Linked DNA regions of Tamandua tetradactyla. The protein of the gene in region 2 interacts with the protein of the main gene of each other region in a pairwise test. Links are inferred from orthologs where the notes say so. Each region holds a gene or a part of one and is shown on either strand. Other genes may lie near its edges.

Region 1 (9,864 bases), on a different chromosome or scaffold from region 2:
GTTTAGAAGACCAAATAACAATCATATTAATAATATGTTTCAAGCACCATGGTGCTAGGCACATTTTTTTTTCAATTCATCCTCCCCAAAATTCTATGAAATATTAACTCTGTTTTACAGATCTACCAACTATGGCAGAATTAGTATTAGTATTCAAAATCAAGTTTATACTGGGGTACATGGTGGTCCAGTGGTAGGATGCTCGTCTTCCATGCGGGAGACCTGGGTTCAAGTTCCAGACCATGCACCTAAAAAATAATAATAATAAAGTTTATACCACTCTAAATTCAAAAAGGAAGAAAGGACCAAGAATAATATATGAATCCTCACAACAGTTAATTTCAACAGATGGAGAAACCAAAGTGAAAAGAAGTTAATTTTTCAACCATCAAATTACAAAATATCTTTCTATATGTAACAAGCCTAGAAATAAGCTGCAGCTGGCATTGGTCCAGTACCCACAATGTCAGGACTAGCATCTCTGTGATTCTCTTAATTGCAAGATGGTGGACACTATTCTAGAGTGTTCTAAGCAGAAAGGGAGAAAGGAGTGGTATTTGTTCCCTTGGTGAGGAATGCCGGAGCTTTCCCAGGAGCCTCCTAGAAGACTTCTACTTTTGTCTCATTGACTACAGCCCTATCAAATGGCATACCTGGCTGCAAGGGAGGCTGGAAAAGCATATTTAGATATTTCAGCATCAATAGTAGCAAGAGTAAAAGATCGGGAACAGTTGTTGGATTAGCCAACAAATGGTCTCTGCCATAAGGAGTGGCAAAATAAATTAAGATTACTGAATAATGGAACATTACATGGCACCAAAAAGAAAGAAGGAAATTAATTGTAAAATAAGAAAATCAGAGTGCAAAACATATGTTATATGCATTTTGTTTATGAAAGGGGGAATCGGGGTAGGAGGGTGTATTAGGGTTATCTAGGGAAACAGAACCAACAGGAGATATCTGTAAATATGAGATTTTATAAAAGGGTCTCATGCAACCGTGGGGATACACAAGTCCAAATTATGACTGCAGGCTGCAAGCTGGCAGCTCTGATGAAGGTCTTTGATGAATTCCCCAGGAGAGGCTGGTTCATTGAAGTGCAGTGAGAGATTCTCTCTTCTGACTTCTCCTTTTAAAGCCTTCATCTGATTCAATTAAATCTCTCTCATTGCTGAAGATACTCTCGTTAATTTAGATGTAATCAGTCATAGATGCAATCAACTTACTGATGATTTTTTTTTTTTTTCGCATGAGCAGGCACCGGGAATCGAACCCGGGTCTCCAGCATGGCAGGTGAGGATTCTGCCTGCTGAGCCACCATGGCCCACCCCTTACTGATGATTTAAGTCCACAAAATGTCCTTGCAGTAATGCTTAGGCCAGTGCTTCACCAGACAACTGGGCACCATTATCTGGCCAAGTTGAAACATAAACCACCACAGAGGGAGACCTATTTTTCAGTGTATACCCTTTTGTGCTATTTGAAAATTTTTAAACACAACATGTACATTGGAATTTTGCCTCTGATCCTGTACCTGTCCAAAATAACCTCTAGTAGAAATTGCTATAGTATATCTTTAGTCTATTTTTATTATAAATAAATGGATTTTATGTGTATAATTATATAGGACTACAATCCTGTGCATTTTCCTCTCCCCTTTGATAGGCCTTCATTTGCCACCTATAATGGGTTTCCATGATGCTGCTGCTTTATTAAATTGTTTTCTCCCTGCTTAACTCCCCATTGCCCATTTTCTGAGCCACCCACTCTTCCTTTGCCTTGATTGGCTTGCCTTGTCACTGTTGCTTTTGGCTTTGTGAAGGATTTACTCTCCCTAACCCCCTGACCCCCACAGGGATGTCGTTATCCCCAGCCTCAGTGCACAACTGTCCCCCAGTGTTGCCAAAGTTCTCAGCCGTGCCTTCTGAGACCTGAGGTTACCAGCCCTATAGCACCCTCTTTCCTCCCTTCTTTCTCCCTTCCTCCCACCCAAACAAAATCTCTCCATGTGGAGTAAAATGATGATCACCTTCCCACACCTACATGTTTCCTACAGGAGAACAGATGTAGAATGGGTAGTCTGCCACCTATTTAGAGAGTGTAGGGAAAAAGAATTTTTGGCTTTAGGAAATGGCAAATGGTGGGGACGGCGCAGTGGATTAACAGGTGAGCATTTTTGCCAGTAGGGGAAGACTGCCTGCCAAGTTGCCAGCAGGGGCTCTAGCAATTAGAACTCTTTTGTAGAAGAGTTGTAATATTCTTTAATGTCTACCATGTGCCAACCAATGCACAAGGCAGTTTGCATAAATTATCATATTTATTCCTCCCAATGATGCTACAAAGTAGGTCTCTTTGGAGGAACCATATGTCCTGATTTACCTGGAGCAGTCATAGTTATATGCCCATGGTCCTGGCATAATTATTAATGACATCCTTTTTCAGTCTCAAAAAAAAAAAAAGGTTTACATAAAAAATTGTAAGTCACCTTAACTATCCCCTTTAATAAGGGAGCATATTGAGACTTAAAGGGTTGAAGTAACACACCTGGTAAATGATAAGGGTAAGATTCAAACTAGCCCCTGGCCTAGACTTGTTCCTTTGATTTTGTGTTCCTTGAATTTAGGAACCATTATCCTCTTCCCTAAACCAAAGTTAGTAGCTTTTTGTTAATCCCTCCGTCTATCTGGGTCTAATCAGGAGAGAAAAACCACATGGTAATTTGCACAAGGAAAATTTAAAGAATTATTATAACAAGATGCCATGGTAATGAGGGATTGGCTAATAAGAAGTAAAGAGAGCTCTAAAGAATACAGGAATAGCAGATATAAGGAGCAGCCACTAACCAGAGGGCTGAAAGAGAACACCCGATGAGCGCCTCCCTTCCTGCCCCACCCTCAGCCTGAGATGAACACCTTGTTCGAGATGGCATAGCTGTGGCCCACACCCTGGGGCCGCACTGGTGGAACTGGCTAGAAATCCATTCTCTAAAGTGCTGAAGAAAACTGTTTACACAGAGCTGTTTACTGGAGAAACTCTGCTCAAAACCACTTCTACCAGGGTTTGAGGTGGGGTAAGTGGGGCACTGCTAGCCAGGTGTTGCTGGTCCCTAGGCTAAAAGCAGGGGCCTGGTCCCGAAGAAGCCATCCACAGGAGCTGGGAGAGCCACACATACTGCAGGACCCTGGTGAATCAGCCCAGCGGAAACAGGAAGGAAAACTTTTTCTTCAGTCAGTGTCTCTCCAGAACCTTCAACCGAAAAAGTTAAACATCTCACCAGCTGTAAAGGACAAAATAAATTTAAAGGGCCCAGATCCATTTTCACAGTGCAGGCAAAAAGGATGAATCTGGAGCTGAGCAGCAATAAATTAATAACCAGCACACTCCCTCAAAAAACTTCCCTGTGTTATACTATAATTTTCCTCTAGTAGGGGCTTTCGAAACAAGAGGAAGGAGGACTAAAAGTGTTCCTCAAAATGAGGCAGGAAGAAAGGTAACAAAATAAGGTGTCAGTGGCTAAGAGAGTTCAAATGGAGTGGAGAGGCTATTCTGGAGGCTACCCTTACACAAACTTAAGCTAGATATTGCTAATTGCCAGGGTTTGCCAAATCCTAATTAACATTACTCTCATTAACCCTAAAGAGCACCCAGGCTGTATCTTAGATTCTACAAAAGTTTCACACACCAAGTTTACTTCTCAGAAACCTAAAACTTCAGATGGTTCCCAGGCCAGATAAGTCCTGAAACCCCCAGTCTCTGCAAAATCATCAACCAGTTCTGTCCCCGTATCCTGTATGATTGACGCCGCTTTTCAATGTGAAAAAATTAGAATGGGTATAGCCCAAATATCCCTAAGGACTGGGAGAAGGATCAAAGGAGAAGGAGTTATAAAAGAAACGTTAGGATTTAACTAATGAGTATGACTATTGAATCATTATATTGATATTGCCATTTAGTCTCCAGTGTCTTGGAGCAGCTAGAAGGAAAAACCTGAAATTGTGGAACTGTAACCCATACCCAACGTTGAATTCTGTTCTATAACTACTTGTTAAAATGTAATTTAAAATGTATTCTTTTTTTTGTATCTATGTTACATCTCATAGTAAAAAATGTTTTAAAAAGCTCTTATCAAAAAAAGTTAAAAAGCCCTTATCAGATATATGTTTTCCAAATATTACCCCCATTCTGTAGGTTGTCTTTTTTACTTTCTAATTTATTAAAAGTAATGTCTCTTTTATAACTCCTTCTCCTTTGATCCTTCTCCCAATCCTTAGTGATATTTGGGCTATGCCCATTCTAATTTTTTCACATTGAAAAGTCCTTTGATGCACACACACACACACACACACACACACACAAAAGGCAGCTGTGTATCTGGGGAGAGGCCTAGAAATCTGAATATTTATCAGGCTTTCTAAGCCATTCTTGATGAAAGACCTTTGAGAAACTATTTAGACAGAGCACCCCCACCCCTGGGAGGGTCCTTGGATATTTCCAAGGAGAGAGTCACCTTGGTTCTCTGTGTATTGGGTATGTGTGTGTGAAGTTTCAGGTTTTCACATGTCTGTTTCTCTGTAAGTTTCCTAGAGCATGTCTGCCTCTATGTCTCCACACATAGCTGTGGATCTCTTTAGTCTTGTCAAATAGTTTATCTGTGTGAGCCTACCTCTCAGGCTTAATATCTCTGTCTCTCAAATCTGCTCACTTTTGCCTTCCAGTTTTTAATTCATGCTGTTCCCTGGGCCCAAAACACTGTTCCCCATACCTCCCTTTCCCCTAATGAGCTCATCTTCCTCATCAGGTGAATTTGATTCTTCCTCTTTAACTCAGATATTACATCCTCCAGAAGCCTCCGCCTCTCCCTTCCCGCACTCCAGTCTGAATTAGGAACCTTTTGTCTAAACTCCCATGACAACCCTTCATAGCTCCTTTATGGCTGCATTATTCATTGCTTCTTTCGCTCCCTTCGAAGGTACGTCGTTTTCCACTACAGCACCTTGGGATGCCTAACACAGTGCTAGCCCACGGTTAGTACTCCATAAATATTGACTGAGTAAATGAGATTGTGTATCACGAAAAAATGAGACCGTGTATTGTGCATGTATTTACGAGGGATGGAATCTGTTCTGTTGACTATTGGTGCCCTTGTATTCCCAGTCCCTACTACAAGGCCTGACATGGAGCAGGCGTTCTAAAAATGGCCAAGCGCCAATGGGGATTCACTTGGCGGGAATCTACCGGTAGTGGTCCGGTATCTGCCCACCGACTAGGAGGTGCCAGCGCAGCGGCGGAAAGGGCGGGGCCTGGCGGCGGTTCGACCCCGGAGAGGGCGGGGCTTGGCCGAGTGGCCCGTCTCCTCCCGGCGCGCTCACCCGGAAGCGCTGCCCCAGCGAACTTGCCTAGCGTCCGGGAGGCTGCACCGCCAACCCCTTCACCCCTGCTCCCGCCATCCATTATGCCGGTAAGTGGCCGCGTCGTCCCGGCCCTGCCCAAACCTGGGGCCCCTGGGTCGCGCCTTGGCTGCACTGCTGCTTGACCAGGGGTTGCTACCCCCCCCCCCCCAGCTTCTAGGACCCTCCAGAAAATCGGAACCGAGAGGAAGTGATTCAAGGAGCCAGGCTTCAGAATGCTGGAGTTACAACGCCTCCAACGATCACGAGCCCAAACCCTCCTTGCATGTACTGGGAAACTAAGATCCAAAAAGGAGGCAGACATCCGAGGTTACACAGAGAATTGGTGGCAAGCTGGAATGGGAAACCTTAGTTCTGCACCTTCCTCCTGGATGCCCCTTTCCCGGGAGCTGACCTTAAAGAAGAATGTGGGGTGGTTATGAGCAAGTTATGAGCCCGACTCTTGCCACCCTGACTGGGCAGGTTTTCAGAGATCCATATTTTTCTTCACTTCCCTGCCCACTCTGGCAGATTTTCAGGTCGGTGTTGGACGAACTTGAATGGCGCCAGTACTTTTGACCTTTTTCAACTGGTCAGTTTCTGAACCTGAATCCATGAGCTCCAGAGAGGTTCAGAGTCCTGCTCAAAGTCATCAGTTACTCAGTGACAGAGTTTGGGGAGGAATGAGCAGGTCTTAGCCTGCCTTTGCAGCTCACTCAGCCTTATTGCACATACATCTTTGGTCATGGCCTCATTTTGTAGATAACAAATTAAAGTCTTTTGCAGATAAAAAAAATTAAAAGCCCAGTAATTTATTCAAAATTGTGTTGAGAGATGGGTGGAACCAAAATTAAGCCCCTTATCCTCCAGCTTCCAGTCCTTCCTGGCCTAATCACACAGGGAAGCAACCTGCAAAAGCAGTCACACCTGCTTGGGAGAAAGCTCCAATTCCAGTTGCCTCTCTGAGATCCTGGTTGGGGTCAGGTGGTGTTTAGCATTTTCCCTCCACGGTGTCTAGTTCCTGGCTCTACTCCAAGTGAGTGCCCAGAAGTGTTCCCAGACACCCTGTGTCTTAGCAGCCTGTCATTGGGGAGCTGACAGGTGAGCCACCGCCCCCCTGGGCAGAGCCACAAACATCTCAGTTGTCAGTTCCCTTGGGTCTTGCCAGGTTCCTTGAGACAAATCCTCAGACATCACAAGCTATAGACAAAGAGCCTGACAGAATCTGCCCTCCCAGCTTAGCAAATCCACTGTGGCAATGTTAGAAAACAGCATTAATCACCCTGGGACCAGATTGTAGAGGCCACTAGGGTTTTTGTGGAGAATGGTAGTGAGGGAAAGGCCAGCCTGAGGATCACAATACTCTTTGCCCATTTCTGGGGATTTTGACAAACCAGAGACTCTGGAGAGGATAATGGGGATGGGGAAGGCATTAACACCGAAGACATCTCAAGAAGGCATTCTTGAGATGAATGGCTGAAGGAGAAAGGATAGTAGTCCAGAGACTGCCTTCAAAATCAGAAGGGGAAGAGTATCTCACCTCAGATTTCTCAGACAAGCACTTACACAGGCTGTGGGATCCCAGAAACTTCTGTGAACATTTGTGCCCACACCTGCCAGCTGGGTGACCTCAGCAAGTTGCTTTACTTCTCTGTGCCTTGGTTTACTCATCTGTAAAATGGGGATAAAAGTCTGACCTTGGGTGGTGCACCAGTGGCTCAGTGGCAGAATTCTCACCTGCTGTGGCAGAGACCTAGGTTCAATTCCCAGAGCTTGCCCATGCCCCGCCCCCCCCCCCAAAAAATCTGACCTCACGAGACTATTGTTAATATTAACTGGAAGAACAATAGTCAAATGTATAGCATAGCCACTGACATAGCCGGTCCCAAGAAATGGTAGTTCTAGGGTAGACCTAGGGCAGAAGAGAGGGGTGGAACTATAGGCATGCAGATTTGAACACAATATTAACAAGGACTGCAGTGGTTCAGGATTAGGCTTTGGAGAGTGTCTGCATCCAGTCCCATGTCATGCCACTCTCTAGCTATATGACCCAAGTGAGTGACCTCACCTCAAGCTCAGTTCCCCCATCTGTAAAGAAGGGATAATAATATCGCCCTTTGTGAAGATTAAATAAGATAATGCCTATAAGTGCTTAGAAATGCCTGGCACATAGCAAGAATTCAAATATATTAGTACTAATAAACTCCCAGTAACCGGGGTGGGTATCAAGGACTGAATATCCCAGATATTTAAGAATGCCTTCACTAGAAGGAGGCTGGCCAAAGTGACCCTGCTCTATCCCTGCCCTTCCAGTGTTGAAATTCTGTTAAAAGAATTGTACGGCTTACTGGACTTTTTCATCTACTTTTTTTTTTTTTAACTCTTTTCATTGTATAATATATATACAAAGCAAAGAAAAAAGCAATAATTTTCAAGCACGCTTCAACATGTAGTTATAGAACAGATCCCATAGTTTGTCATGAGCTACCATTCCATCATCTCAGATTTCTACTTTTATGATTGTATGTCAAAATTTACAATCAGATTTCTACTTTTAAGAACTCATTGTTTAGGTGAGAAGCTCAGACCCAGAGGGGCCAGAACTGACCAAAATCAAGCATCCAATGATGGAGGAGGTCTGAGGAATTTCCTGTAAAGAATGGATTATCACTTTGTCCATTAAGCAGATCCTCCACCACCCCCAGATTTGTTTTTGCAACTCAGAGGTGGGGGAGGAGGGTACTGAACTATGTTTGCTTCCAGCAGCCACCTCCTGGCTTCTGACCTCTGCTGTGGAGGATGAAATGACACCCATTGCTTATAGTCAACAGCAGAAAGCTTCAGTTAGCTATTAACTTCAGGATCTTGGGCAGCAAAAAAAAAATGTGTTTTCTATATCCTGGAGAAAGTATTCCCACTCTCAGCTCCTGCTAAGAGTCAGGGTTGTGGGGGGCAGCAGGTGGTGGTGCAGTTTACTGATCCAAAGTCAGCAAGATTTCCCTGAATCGAGGAAGGCCTAGATTCACATCACATCCTCAATACTTAACATATGACTGTGGGCAGCTTAGTTAGCCTCTGGGAACCTCATTTTCCTCCTAGGTAAAATAGCTCCCACTCCAAGCTGAGTGAGGACTAACTTAGTTACTGTATAAAGAGCATTTGGCATATAGTAGGCATTCTATAAATTTAGATTTTATTTTGATCTTGCAAATACTTAAAGCTTTGAAAGATATATAAGTACAAACTACAGATGAAGTTTTTTTAAATAGAAATTGAACACCTACTATACCCTATGGGTGGCCAGTTTTATCTGTCTGGTTTCTAGCAAAAACACCACATTCCTTGGGTTAGAGAGGTCACATTGTAATTCCAGTCTCTGGGGCTCTCAACGCACAGCCCAGAGCCATTCCAAAAAGGAGATCTGTCTGATTGGGTATCTGAAGTTTTCTGTCATGGCCAGGTGTACAAGTGTAAGGAGGATGTTATTAGAGGACTACCTGTCTTGGGACGCTGAGGGGGATAGGCACAGACCCAACAGTGACTCTGATTGTTTCCATTTGTTGTGTGGTATACCAGATGGACAGAAATTGTCCATAGGGCAGAAATAGGAGAAAGAGGAAATAAAAGAAAATCATGGTGAAGGGTGGGGATTATTGGGGATGGAGATTGGACATTGTAAGGCATATAGGATGAATAAGAGACAGTATAGACAGATGGTGAAAAGGAAGAGACAGAATAAAATAAGGAAATTCAGGCATGTCTTGATTTGTGATATTGAGTATCATCTCCTTGTTCTGACCTTTTGGGCCAAAGCTCTGTACATCAGATGCCATCTGCTTGTGGAATCCTCATGTTAGTTTTAACTTGAGATCTGAAATGGGAGTGGCTTCTCAAGGGCATGATGCATGTTTAAGTTGAGTCCTGTGGACCCTGGGGTAAATTCTCTGTAGTTTAACTGCCATAGTTGTGGTCAGTAAGACTTGATAAGGTGCTTTCAATCTAGGTTCTAAAGCAGTCTTTTGTTGATGTCTCTTCTAGAATATCAGTTCTCTGGCTGACAGTTATTTAGTGTTCACTATAAAACAATCTCAGGAAAGGCAACCTAGATCTTACTTCTCATTTAAAGTCCCTTTATTTAATTTTATTTTTGCTGAAAATGAAGCTCTGACCTGTAGCTAGTTGCAAGCACTTACATACTTAAGTTCCCAAAATAATCTTGAAAGTGTCTTCAAGCTGACATTTGGGTGCTTTAGAGTCTTGGTGATTGGATAGCTGACACAAAAGGGTCTGTTGTGTGCCTCACCTGGCCAGTTGCCAGAGCCCATAGTCCCAAAAGGTACCTTCTGTATCTTCAAACTTCTTGAAAGACAAATCGGAACTGAGTTTGCAAACAACAGCATTTTATTAGTGACACCAGAGTTTTACTGCAAGCATAGGAAGCCAGGTCACTTGCAGACCACTGATGAATCTTTATTGT
Region 2 (10,068 bases):
TAAAATGTCTGTCTATTAGTTACAAGCTGCCTCAGCACCCAGCTGGTCTCTCTTACCATTAGTGGGCTTTACAGTGAACATGGCTTTCTCAAGGCATCACGACAAGTCCATGTTAATTTAACCACATGTGGTACAACTGAAGCTCAGTCATTGCTAAAAAGGGATCTTCAGGATGAGCTGCTTTTTTTCAACATACAAAAAAGCAAAACCTTAATTTGAATAATACTACTTAGAGGATCACTTTTTACACACCTGAAATGAATTATTACCAGAAATTGCTTGTTTCTTAATGATCAAAATGCATTAATTGGCTTCTTGAAACCAGTGCCTCTGAACAGTTGCCTGGGCATATATGCCCAAAATAAGGAAACAATAAAACCCAACGCTAATAAAAATGTAAAGGACATATTTCAGTTCAAAGGCAGTATTAATTACTGCCACCTTTTTGAGCCCTCATTATATTTGAGGGAAAGTGCTAAGTACTTCCATGAGTTATCTCTTTTAATCCCCTCTGCAACACTAAGAAATATACTATAATCACCTCTCATTTTACACCAAGGGTTAGGCATTTAATATGAACCTTTAAAAGCTTGACAATCATAGTATATAGTCCTGCACTGTTCCTAACATCGAGGCTGCTCAGAATGGCAAATAAACATACCTGATATTTTCCTGCAGACCTTGCCATTGTTAAAGCTTTGCCCATCAGATGTGACGTGTCACCCAACTCAAATAAACATGTCACTTAATGATAAGCTAATAATGGTGAAACACCAAAACAGAGGCCAACAGCATGCTGACCCACCAGCATGTATCCACCCTGAGAGGAACAGGAGAAATTCCAGGAAGCAACCCATGAGGAAACTTACAATCACAGAATTTTAGATCTGAAAGGATCTTGAGGTTATACAGTGCCAAATACCCTAATTTGGTAGAAGTGGAAACTGAGACCCTAGGAGGCAACGTGACTTAGTCTAGGCTCCCCAAGGGCTAGGAGTGAGCTATAAACTAACTCCAGGCTCGTGCCCCACCCTCCACCACACCAGTCACTACCTGGCAAGTGGGAGTTCAAAATTCAGCTTAGACACTCGTTTACATCTCTTTGGCTGACCTGCAGGTCCACCTTCTCTCTTACCCAACTAGTTCTCCAAAACTGCAAAGAGAAATGGCCACCTTTAGGAAGCCTAAAGGCAGGAAGAAGCCTCAGGCCAAATGACCAGCGCAAAACAGTTTTCTTTTTGGTCTGTGCTTGCTTATCACACAACTGTCCCAGTTAACTTTACAGGGAGCAGATAAGGCAGGCCTTGCAGGGGAAACATCACCACCACCCAGATGGCCCCTGGCTCCTGGGGAAAGGAACACAGATATAGTGAAATGAGCAGCCTGAGAAGCTAAACCGACTGGGCACAAGTCTGTGTTCACCACTTAAAACCTGGGCACATAATTTACTCTTTCTGAGCCTCCACTGCCTTTACCTGTAAGATAAGAACAATGCCTTCCGATATAACTTTTACAACATGACTGCATGATTGTGAAAACCTTGTGTCTGTTGCTCCTTTTATGAGTAAAAAAAATGGATAAAATATAACCAAATAATAGAGGGGACAAAGGGTAAAATAAAGTGGGTAGACAAAGATACTAGTAGTCAATGAGGGGGCAGGGTAAGGGTTACGATATGTATGAGTTTTTTCTTTTTACTTCTTTTTCTGGAGTGATGTAAATGTTCTAAAAAATGATCATGGTGATGAATACACAACTATGTGATGATATTGCGAGCCACTGATTATACACCATGTATGGAATGTTCGTGTGTGAAGATTTATCAATAAGAATATTTTAAAAAGAACAATACTTTCACCTCCCAGGGTTGCTGGAAGTGTTCAGATGGGGTAACATTTAAGTACAAGCCTGGACCCGCAAGGGCATGTCCTAACTGGATTTCATTCATTAAAATTAAATAAAATTTAAAATTCAGTTCTTAGTAACACTAGTCAGGTTCTCAGTGTTCAAAGTCCCTGTGGTGGGGTGGTGAGGCAGTCACAAAACATGTTCAGCATCACAGAAAGCTGTACTGCACAGCGCTACGCTAGAGTCTCTTCTCCCTCACCCAAACAGAAATCCTGTAGATTTTCCTTCCAAATGTCTTCTGATCCACACTCTCTGCCACTGCCTTAAAGCCCTCACAGCTTCTTGTCTGGCCTCCTAAAACCCACTGCCTTCAGTTTCAGCCCCTCTAATCCCACACGGTCTCCAGAGTGATATTTCTAATGCAGCACATCTAAACTTGTCTCTCCTCAGCTTCAGCAGCTTTCCCTTTCCTGCAGGATACTGGCATCCAGCATCCAAACCCTTCCTGATCAGGTCACATCACTGGGAACCAGCCTCTGTTCACCGCACCCAGCTGTGCTGCATGTGCATCTCCTGTGGGATGTCTGGCTCCCTGTGACACAGACACTCAGCTGATAAGGCACAAAGGCTCTGAGCCCCGAGGTGAGAAATACAAAGACCTCGCCTAAAAGGAAGTACAAAGTACCTACGTCAATTTCCAGGCAGGAAACTGTAGGCTCAGACAGGAATGAGCACGTCTTTTGGGTCTGGACTGTAAGCTTAGCTATGCTTGTGGAAGTCATGGTCCCCACTGCCACCACCTGGGCCAGGTTCCCTACACTATTCACATGTGGCCCTGCTTCCCCCAAATAGTGAGAGCACTTCTTCAAACACACACACCACTCCTACTCATAGTTATACCTTTTAATGGCCTCCCACTCCCTTCTTCAAATCAATCCTCTACGTGGCTTCAGAAGCTCATATAATTCGGTTCCATCTGGTGGGTCCAGCCTCTGTGCTGGGCACACCCCTTTCGGATCCAACACTCGGCCCAATTTCCCAGATTCTCCCATTCTAGTCTACTCATTTCCTCGCTCCTTTCCACTGACCCACCATCTTCTTTCAGTCTCAGCTGGGATCTTCAGTGACTTGGGGCATAGGAGTAAAAGTGGTAACTCTAGAAAGCACCAACGGCACGGGGTGGGGGTGGGGGCTTCAGGAAACAATTCCCTCTCATACCAGCCTTAGAAAGTTGGGTTTGATCTTCATCAGGGAAACAACACATCTCCAGCCATCCCCCAGGATTTCTCTATGCTCCAGCCACATTTTTCCCAATTCCAAAACCTGATGGGCTTTGGCATGCCTCTCTGCCTTTGCCTGAGGTGGCCCTGGCAAACTTGTCCTCAAGCTCTACCTCCAATAGTCAGTTTTCCTGTTACCTATTATCTCTTTCCCTCCTAGAAAGCCTTCCTAACACGACCCCTTCCTGAGAATCCCACCCCCCACCCTGCTGGCTTTAATGCCACTATATTGTTATTGCCTTACAAACCACCTCTTGTCCAACCTACTCGCCCCACTCCCCTCCAACTAAGCCCAGAGAGCAGGGACTATGCCATCTCCATCTTCAGTGCTAATTCCTGGAGCCAACTGGTGTTCAGAAAAACGTTGGCTCTAAGAACGACAACCTCAAGACCTGCATGGACACAACCTGAAAGCATCCTGGTTTGCCCTGACCCCTTCAGCAACTTGGTTCTGCCTCCCACTACCACATCCAAATCTCCTGTCCTCTCCCTCTAGACTGCTCTCTGTCACCATATGAGTCTAACCAAAGAGCAGTAAAAGTTACACACTGTCCCTACTCTGGTTTCAATAGTATGGACACATGTAAATACACAGACACTGAAATCACAGCCAGTACCTGTTAGAAGAACGTGGACATCCGGGTGACCTGTTATATGCTTGCACTTCTTTTATATTATCGCTAAGGATTCACAAACCCAGGGAACTCCCTGGACACCGCACAGGTCCAGCGACCTCAAGTGTGAGAACCCTTGCCCTAGAGTTGGGCGCGGAGGGGAAGCCAAGGCAGACTGCTAAGCCTCAGGGTCGGTGGTCGACAGCTGCGGGCCAACAAGTCCAAAGGTTGGTGAAGGCGCTCCAGGGACTTCCCAGGGGCAAGGAGAGAAGGGGCCGGGGTCCTCCTCCGGGAAGGGGGTGGAGTCTCCGGGGCCAGGGTCCCTGCAGGGTGGGGGTCAGGAAGGGGGTCTGCGGGTAGGGCATCCTGGGGGGAGGAAGTAGTCCCATGGAAAAGGGGATTATGAGGGCTCGGGACCGGGTGGGGTAAAATCTTCAGCGGTCTCAGGGCTCGGGGGTCCTCAGTGAATCTTGTCGGGGTCTCGGGGCCCTGAGGCGGCTGGACGTCCTCAGGGAGTCTACGAGTCTAGGGACAATCGTGGAGGGTTTCGGGGTCCGAGGGTCCTGAAGGCTGTCAGGACTCCAAAGCGGTGGGGACCCAAGAAGGGTCTTGGGAGAGGAAGGGTCCTGAGGGCTCTCGGCCAGGAACCCCGGCCTCCCCCGACCCGGGCCCCTTACCTGCGGCGAATCCAAGTCGCTGGTCTCTGCTCGCACGCCCGCCTCCCCTCCTCGGCGGCTGACGACGTCTGCGCGCGCACCAGCGGCGAGAGCGGGAGGCGCAGCCCGAGCCCGACTGGTACCGCGTTCAGCCTCGCCTCCACGTTTGCCCGCCGCGGCGCCGCCGCAAAGCCTTCCTCCGGGGGCTCTCGGTCGCCGCGCGAAAGTTCCGCCTGGAAACCAACGGCTTATCGTGGTCCCGGGCCCCTCGCCCCGCCTCTCTGAGGAGGGGGCGGGGCCTGAGGCCACCTGCGCTCGTTCCTGCGTCTCTCTTTTGCATGTGCAAAAGGCGGGGGGGGGGCGGGCGCGCTCTGCCGGGCCCTGCTCAGCGTTGAGCAGGATCGAGGGCCCTGGCAGCTGCGGCCCGCAGATCACGCAGGCTCCGGCGGGCCACGGGTCCCTGCTTGCCGAAGCCGCCGGTAGCTCAGTGGCCATTGTCGCTATCCGGAATTCCGTCCCTTGATCACTGTCACTTCCCACTGGAACGGAGGCTCCTTGAGGCCCGAACATTGTCTGCGTTGTTCACCCCTGGACCCCCAGAGCTGGCACAGCCCTGGGCACACGATCGATGCCCAAATGCTTGGGCATGAGTAATCTTTCTTGTGCTATTCTTTCATCAAGAAATACGTTTTCAACCCACAGAACAGGAGAAAATACTTGGGAACCATATATCTGATAAGGGCTTAATATCCAGAGTATATAAAGAACTCCTACAACTCAACAACAAAAATACAAACAATTCAGTTTAACAATGGGAATAGAACTTAAGTAGACATTTCTGCACAGAAGACATACAAATGGCTGTAAGCACAGGAAAAGATGCCCAATATCATCAGCCATTAGAGAAATGCAAATCAAAGCCAGAATGAGATACAACTTCGCACCCACTTCAATGGCTATTATTTTGAAAACAGAAAATAGCAAGCATTGGAGAGGATGTAGAAAAATAGAAATGCTTGTGCTCATGGACATGTAAAATCGTGGAAAACAATTTTGCACTTCCTCAGAAAGTTGAGTATAGAATTGCCATAGGATCCAGCAATCCCACTTCTAGTTGCATATCCAGAAAAATTGAAAGGAGGGACTTGAGCAGAAATTTTCCCACCAATCTTCACAGGGCATTATTCACAATTGTGAAAAGCTCAAAGAAACCCAAGTATCTATCAACCAATGAAAGCAAAAGCAAAATGTGGTATAGCCATACAATGGAATATTATTCAGGCATAAAAAAGGAATGGAATTCTGAAACATGTGGGTGGTAGTTAGATTCAGTTGTCAACTTGACCAGGTGAAGGCACCTAGTTCTGTTGCTGTGGACATGAGCCAATGGTACATGAACCTCATCTGTTGCTGATTGTATCTGCAGTTGGCTAGGAGGCGTGCCTGCTGCAATGAATGATGGTTTGACTTAATTGGCTGGTGCTTAAATGAGAGAGCACAATGTAGCACAGGCCAAGCAGTTCAGCATACCTCATCTCAGCACGCGCAGCTCAGCCCAGGCCTTTGGAGATGTGAAAGAAATTACCCCGGGAAAAGTTGTTGGAACTCAGAGGCCTGGAGAGAAGGCCAGCAGAGATCAGTTTGTGCCTTCCTGTATAACAAAGAACCTCAGTTGAAAGTTAGCTGCCTTTCCTCTGAAGAACTAATGAAATAAATCCCCTTTTATTAAAAGCCAATCTGTCTCTGGTGTGTTGCATTCCGGCAGCTAGCAAACTGGAACAATGTGACAACATGGATGAACATTGAAGACATTACATTGAGTGAAATAAAGCCAGATGCGAAAGGACAGATATTGTATTATCTCATTTATATGAAATAACTAAAATAGACAAATACATAAAGTTAGAAAGTAGATTACAGGTTATGAGGGGTGAGGGTTAATGCTTCATGGGTCCAGAATTTCTATTTGGGGTGATGGAAACATTTTGGTGATAGATGATCGTGAGGATAGCACAACATCATGAATGGAAATTAATGCCAACACATCGTATGCTGGTAGTTGGATTGTAAAATGAGAAAGGTTATGTTGTGTATATATATAAAACCTCAATAAAAAAGAAAAGGAAAGAAATACACTTCCCAGGAGGCTGAGCAGGACACTTGCTTGGGTCTGGAGCCTGGTCTACCACCTGAGGGCTGTGTCTTCTCATCCATCTGCACCCCAGTTTCTGCCTGTAAAACCATGGTGCTAGCAGTACCTGCCTCTCGGGGTGATTGAGAGGACTAAGTAAGGTCACACATGGGCAGGCTTGGCAGAGGAGCATGCACAGGATTAGTGTCCCCTGCTATTCTTATGACTCGTATGTCCCCCTATCCAAGTCCTTCTCTGCCACTGGAAGTCTTTCTCTTCTCTGAATAAGAACCGATGGGCTCAGAAGCTACTTCCCCTTCCCGTCCTTCCCAGATCCACACACCCACCCACACCCTGGCCAAGCCACATTTAATTCTTACTTCCTCTCTCTGTATATTTTTTCCTGTCTAGTGTTCAAGTTGGCTGTTAACATCCCCCGGCCCACAGAGAAAGCCTGAACTTGTCATCCACATGGGTCTTCTGAGTTTTAGCAGCTTGTGAAGTTTGGGGGCCCAGAGTCCATAACACCAAGTGGTGAGGCAGCTGTGGGTTTCTGTGCATGGCAGCGCCTGCCAAAGCGCTTTGCATGTGCTCCTTCATCTGCATCTTGGAACAAGCCTGTGAGGGCACCACCCTCGTTCTCATTCCAGTTGAACAGACAGGGATGCTGAAGCCCCTTGAGGTTGCCCAGGCATCTGCGCACCCCATCTCCCGCATGTGTCACCATCCTCTCTCCATTCAGCTCCTCCTCCATGGTCACAGGATGGAACACAGTGCAGGGCAGCTCATGAGCTACTTCCGGGTGCAGGGGACCAGGACCTGAGAGAGGTGGCATGGGCTTGAGAACCGGACTCTGGGCTGAGTGCTGGCGGAGGCCAGACCCTGGGTGTAGGCGGCCCTGGGGCAGACATCCTTGAAGTTCCTGGGGTGGTGGAATCCAAGAAATCTATGCACAGGGTAGGCTATGCCTGAAACCCTCCAGCCAAGTCGGCCCCATCCAAAACACAGCCTGCAGGTCTCAGCCCCTGCACCCCAAATCACTGCCTTGCAAAGACAAGGCCAGCAGGAGGGGATGCCTTAGGAACAAACTCCCCTAACCCTTCCCCTCCCCTGTACTCAAGAGAGATGTAGGTGCCCTGGGTCCTGGAAAAGGACTGAGTGGGGCACTGCTACCAAGCCACCTTGACCATCCCCAGAGTAGATAAGGGATGGGCAGGGCTAGTTGGCAAGGTGTCATGGGAAGCAGAGGCGCCTATCCCGCCCATCCAGGTAAGCATGTCTTATTCAGTGTGCAATGGGCAAAGGATTGACTGTATGCATGTGACATGGCAAGGCTTGGCACCTCAAATACAGGGCCCAGATGCGAGTCCTCTCTGTGTTGCAGGTGGCCGTGATGGCATCAATGGGGGCTGCCCTGAGAGATGTGCAAATGGAAGTCATATGTGTGCTTGTATGTGTATACTACTATTTTTTAATTTCAGATTTCTGACCTCCAGAACTGTGAGAGGATACATTTTTGTTGTTTTAAGCCCCCCTGTCTGTAGTAATTTGTTATAGCAGCCACAGAACACTAATAGAGTTGCTATTTTAGAAATGAGGAAACTGAGACTCCAAGAGGCCAGGGAATTTGCCTGCGGTCCCTTGGCCAGTAGGTAGGTCAGTCAGACCTGTCTGCCTCTTTAGCTTCAGAAAGCCTGCCTGCTTTGCCCAATGCAGAGTCTTCCAGGAAGTAGAGAGGGTGCTAATACTCTCTGGGGCAATTAGAAAGTGCCACCCCAGAAGCTGAGTCCAGACCCAGCAAATGGGTAGAATGATTATTCATTTGTTCACTTACTCTTGGGTCCCCAAGAAGGTTTGCTCATCTTCCTTAGATCAGTTTGGTCCCTTTAGCTTTTGTATCAGGAGCTGTGATTAAGGCCTCTTATAAGCTGGAAGCTCCAATCTCCTGGGACCTCCATGAATCATGCTGCTGGAAAGAGGGCTGGACTCTACTTCTTTCACCTATGACACCAAATGTGGGAAGCAGCTTGTATAGGAAGGGGGCTCAAGCCACCTGTAAGACCTGCTTTTCAAAGGGGGGGTGGGAAGTATCCAAGCCTACAGAATGAGCATGCATGTGATTTTCTGTAGTGTTCAGAAAGTTTGATTATCTTAATAACGTTTTGCAAGTTGGTTTCCTTCCTTTGTCTAAAGATTTGAATTTACTTGGGTTTGCATTAAAGGTCCCATTTTGCAGTTGGTTTGTCAGTAATTCCCCATTAAAGCAAAGCCTGGATCCCATATAGGGGATGTAATTCTACTTAAGGGTCTTTTAAAAGCTGGGCAGGAGTGCATGGGTATTTCGGCAGCAGAGCGCCCGCCCACCATGCGGGTGACCCGGGCATAAGTCCTGGTCCATGCACCCAAAAAGAAAAAAAAAACCTCAGCAATAGTAGTCCCTGAATCTAGAAGGAGACACCCCAAGATATACTGGGTATGAACTCAGATGTATGCCCACAGAAAAGAAAGAAAACAAATAAATAATGAAATAGAAATAAAAATAATTTTAAGAAATAAAATAAAATAAAAATTAAATAAAAAGACAAACCTAGGCAGATAGGGAGTTTGCCAGACTGCACTGACTACTTCTTCCTAGAAGATGGTGCTCTTGAGCCACGTCCTCCTCCTCCCCTCAGGCTCACCTGGAATGGCCAGCTGGGCAGGATGGCATGCACGGCAGGACAGCTGGTCCCAGCACTGGGGACAGGGCAGTTGATCACAACATCTGGCAGATCTGCCGCCTGTAGCTCCTGACAGGATGGCCACTCCTGTGGGTGGCTGGCATGCCCCTGGGCTCCCTACAGGTACAGCCAGCTTCAAGGTTACGCAGGGAGTTCTCCCCAGCCAGCTGCTGGCACAGGCTAGATTGGAGATTGGTATCCTATAGGGAGGGACAGTCTTTTTCCTTGGATCTGCACTTCCCCATGTGCTGCCACCTGCCCCTGGTGGGGTCACAAACTAACAGATTCGCCTTGTTCTCCCCATCCCGACCCCCTTTCCTCTCTCTACCAGGACCTCCCTATAGAATGCTGAAGACCCTCCTTGATCAGTCACCCCCTGGGTTGCAGTCCCTGTCGTCTTTTCCTTCCCTTCTCTTGTTTTCCCACGGAGCAGGAGTGAAATCAGCCTACCCTACTCTGCCATCTTCCTGCATCTTGCATGAGTTTTTAACAATGGCAGACCTTGCAGAGGTTGTGCCCTCTCTGCTTCCCTTGGGGATTGTGCTGGTTTGAAAGGATGTATGTCCCCTTGAAAAGCCATGTTTTAATCCTAATCCCATTTTGTAAAGGCAGCCATTTCTTCTAATCCCTATTCAGTATTGTATGTTTGAAACTGTAATCAGATCATCTCCCTGGAGATGAGATTTAATCAAGAGTGGTTGTTAAACTGGATTAGGTAGAGGCATGTCTCCACCCATTTGGGTGGATCTTGATTAGTTTCTGAAGTTCTATAAAAGAGGAAACATTTTGGAGAATGGGAGATTCAGAGAGAGCAAAGCA

What was found.
Region 1: the proteins of FAM118A (region 2) and ATOX1 interact in binary tests that used the Homo sapiens proteins (3 or more experiments, as listed by UniProt). The two-hybrid records come from large-scale screens. The link is inferred for Tamandua tetradactyla from reciprocal best matches to the Homo sapiens genes FAM118A and ATOX1.

Annotation. Positions count from the first base shown.
Region 1 is NC_135346.1:32,592,754-32,602,617, reverse strand, and holds the start of ATOX1 (copper transport protein ATOX1), read left to right. Parts: upstream 1-5,292; 5' UTR 5,293-5,452; coding exon 5,453-5,458; intron 5,459-9,864. UniProt on the Homo sapiens protein: Binds and deliver cytosolic copper to the copper ATPase proteins. May be important in cellular antioxidant defense.
Region 2 is NC_135333.1:39,588,622-39,598,689, reverse strand, and holds the start of FAM118A (protein FAM118A), read right to left. Parts: upstream 4,610-10,068; 5' UTR 4,420-4,609; intron 3,948-4,419; exon of another isoform or gene 3,746-3,947; intron 1-3,745.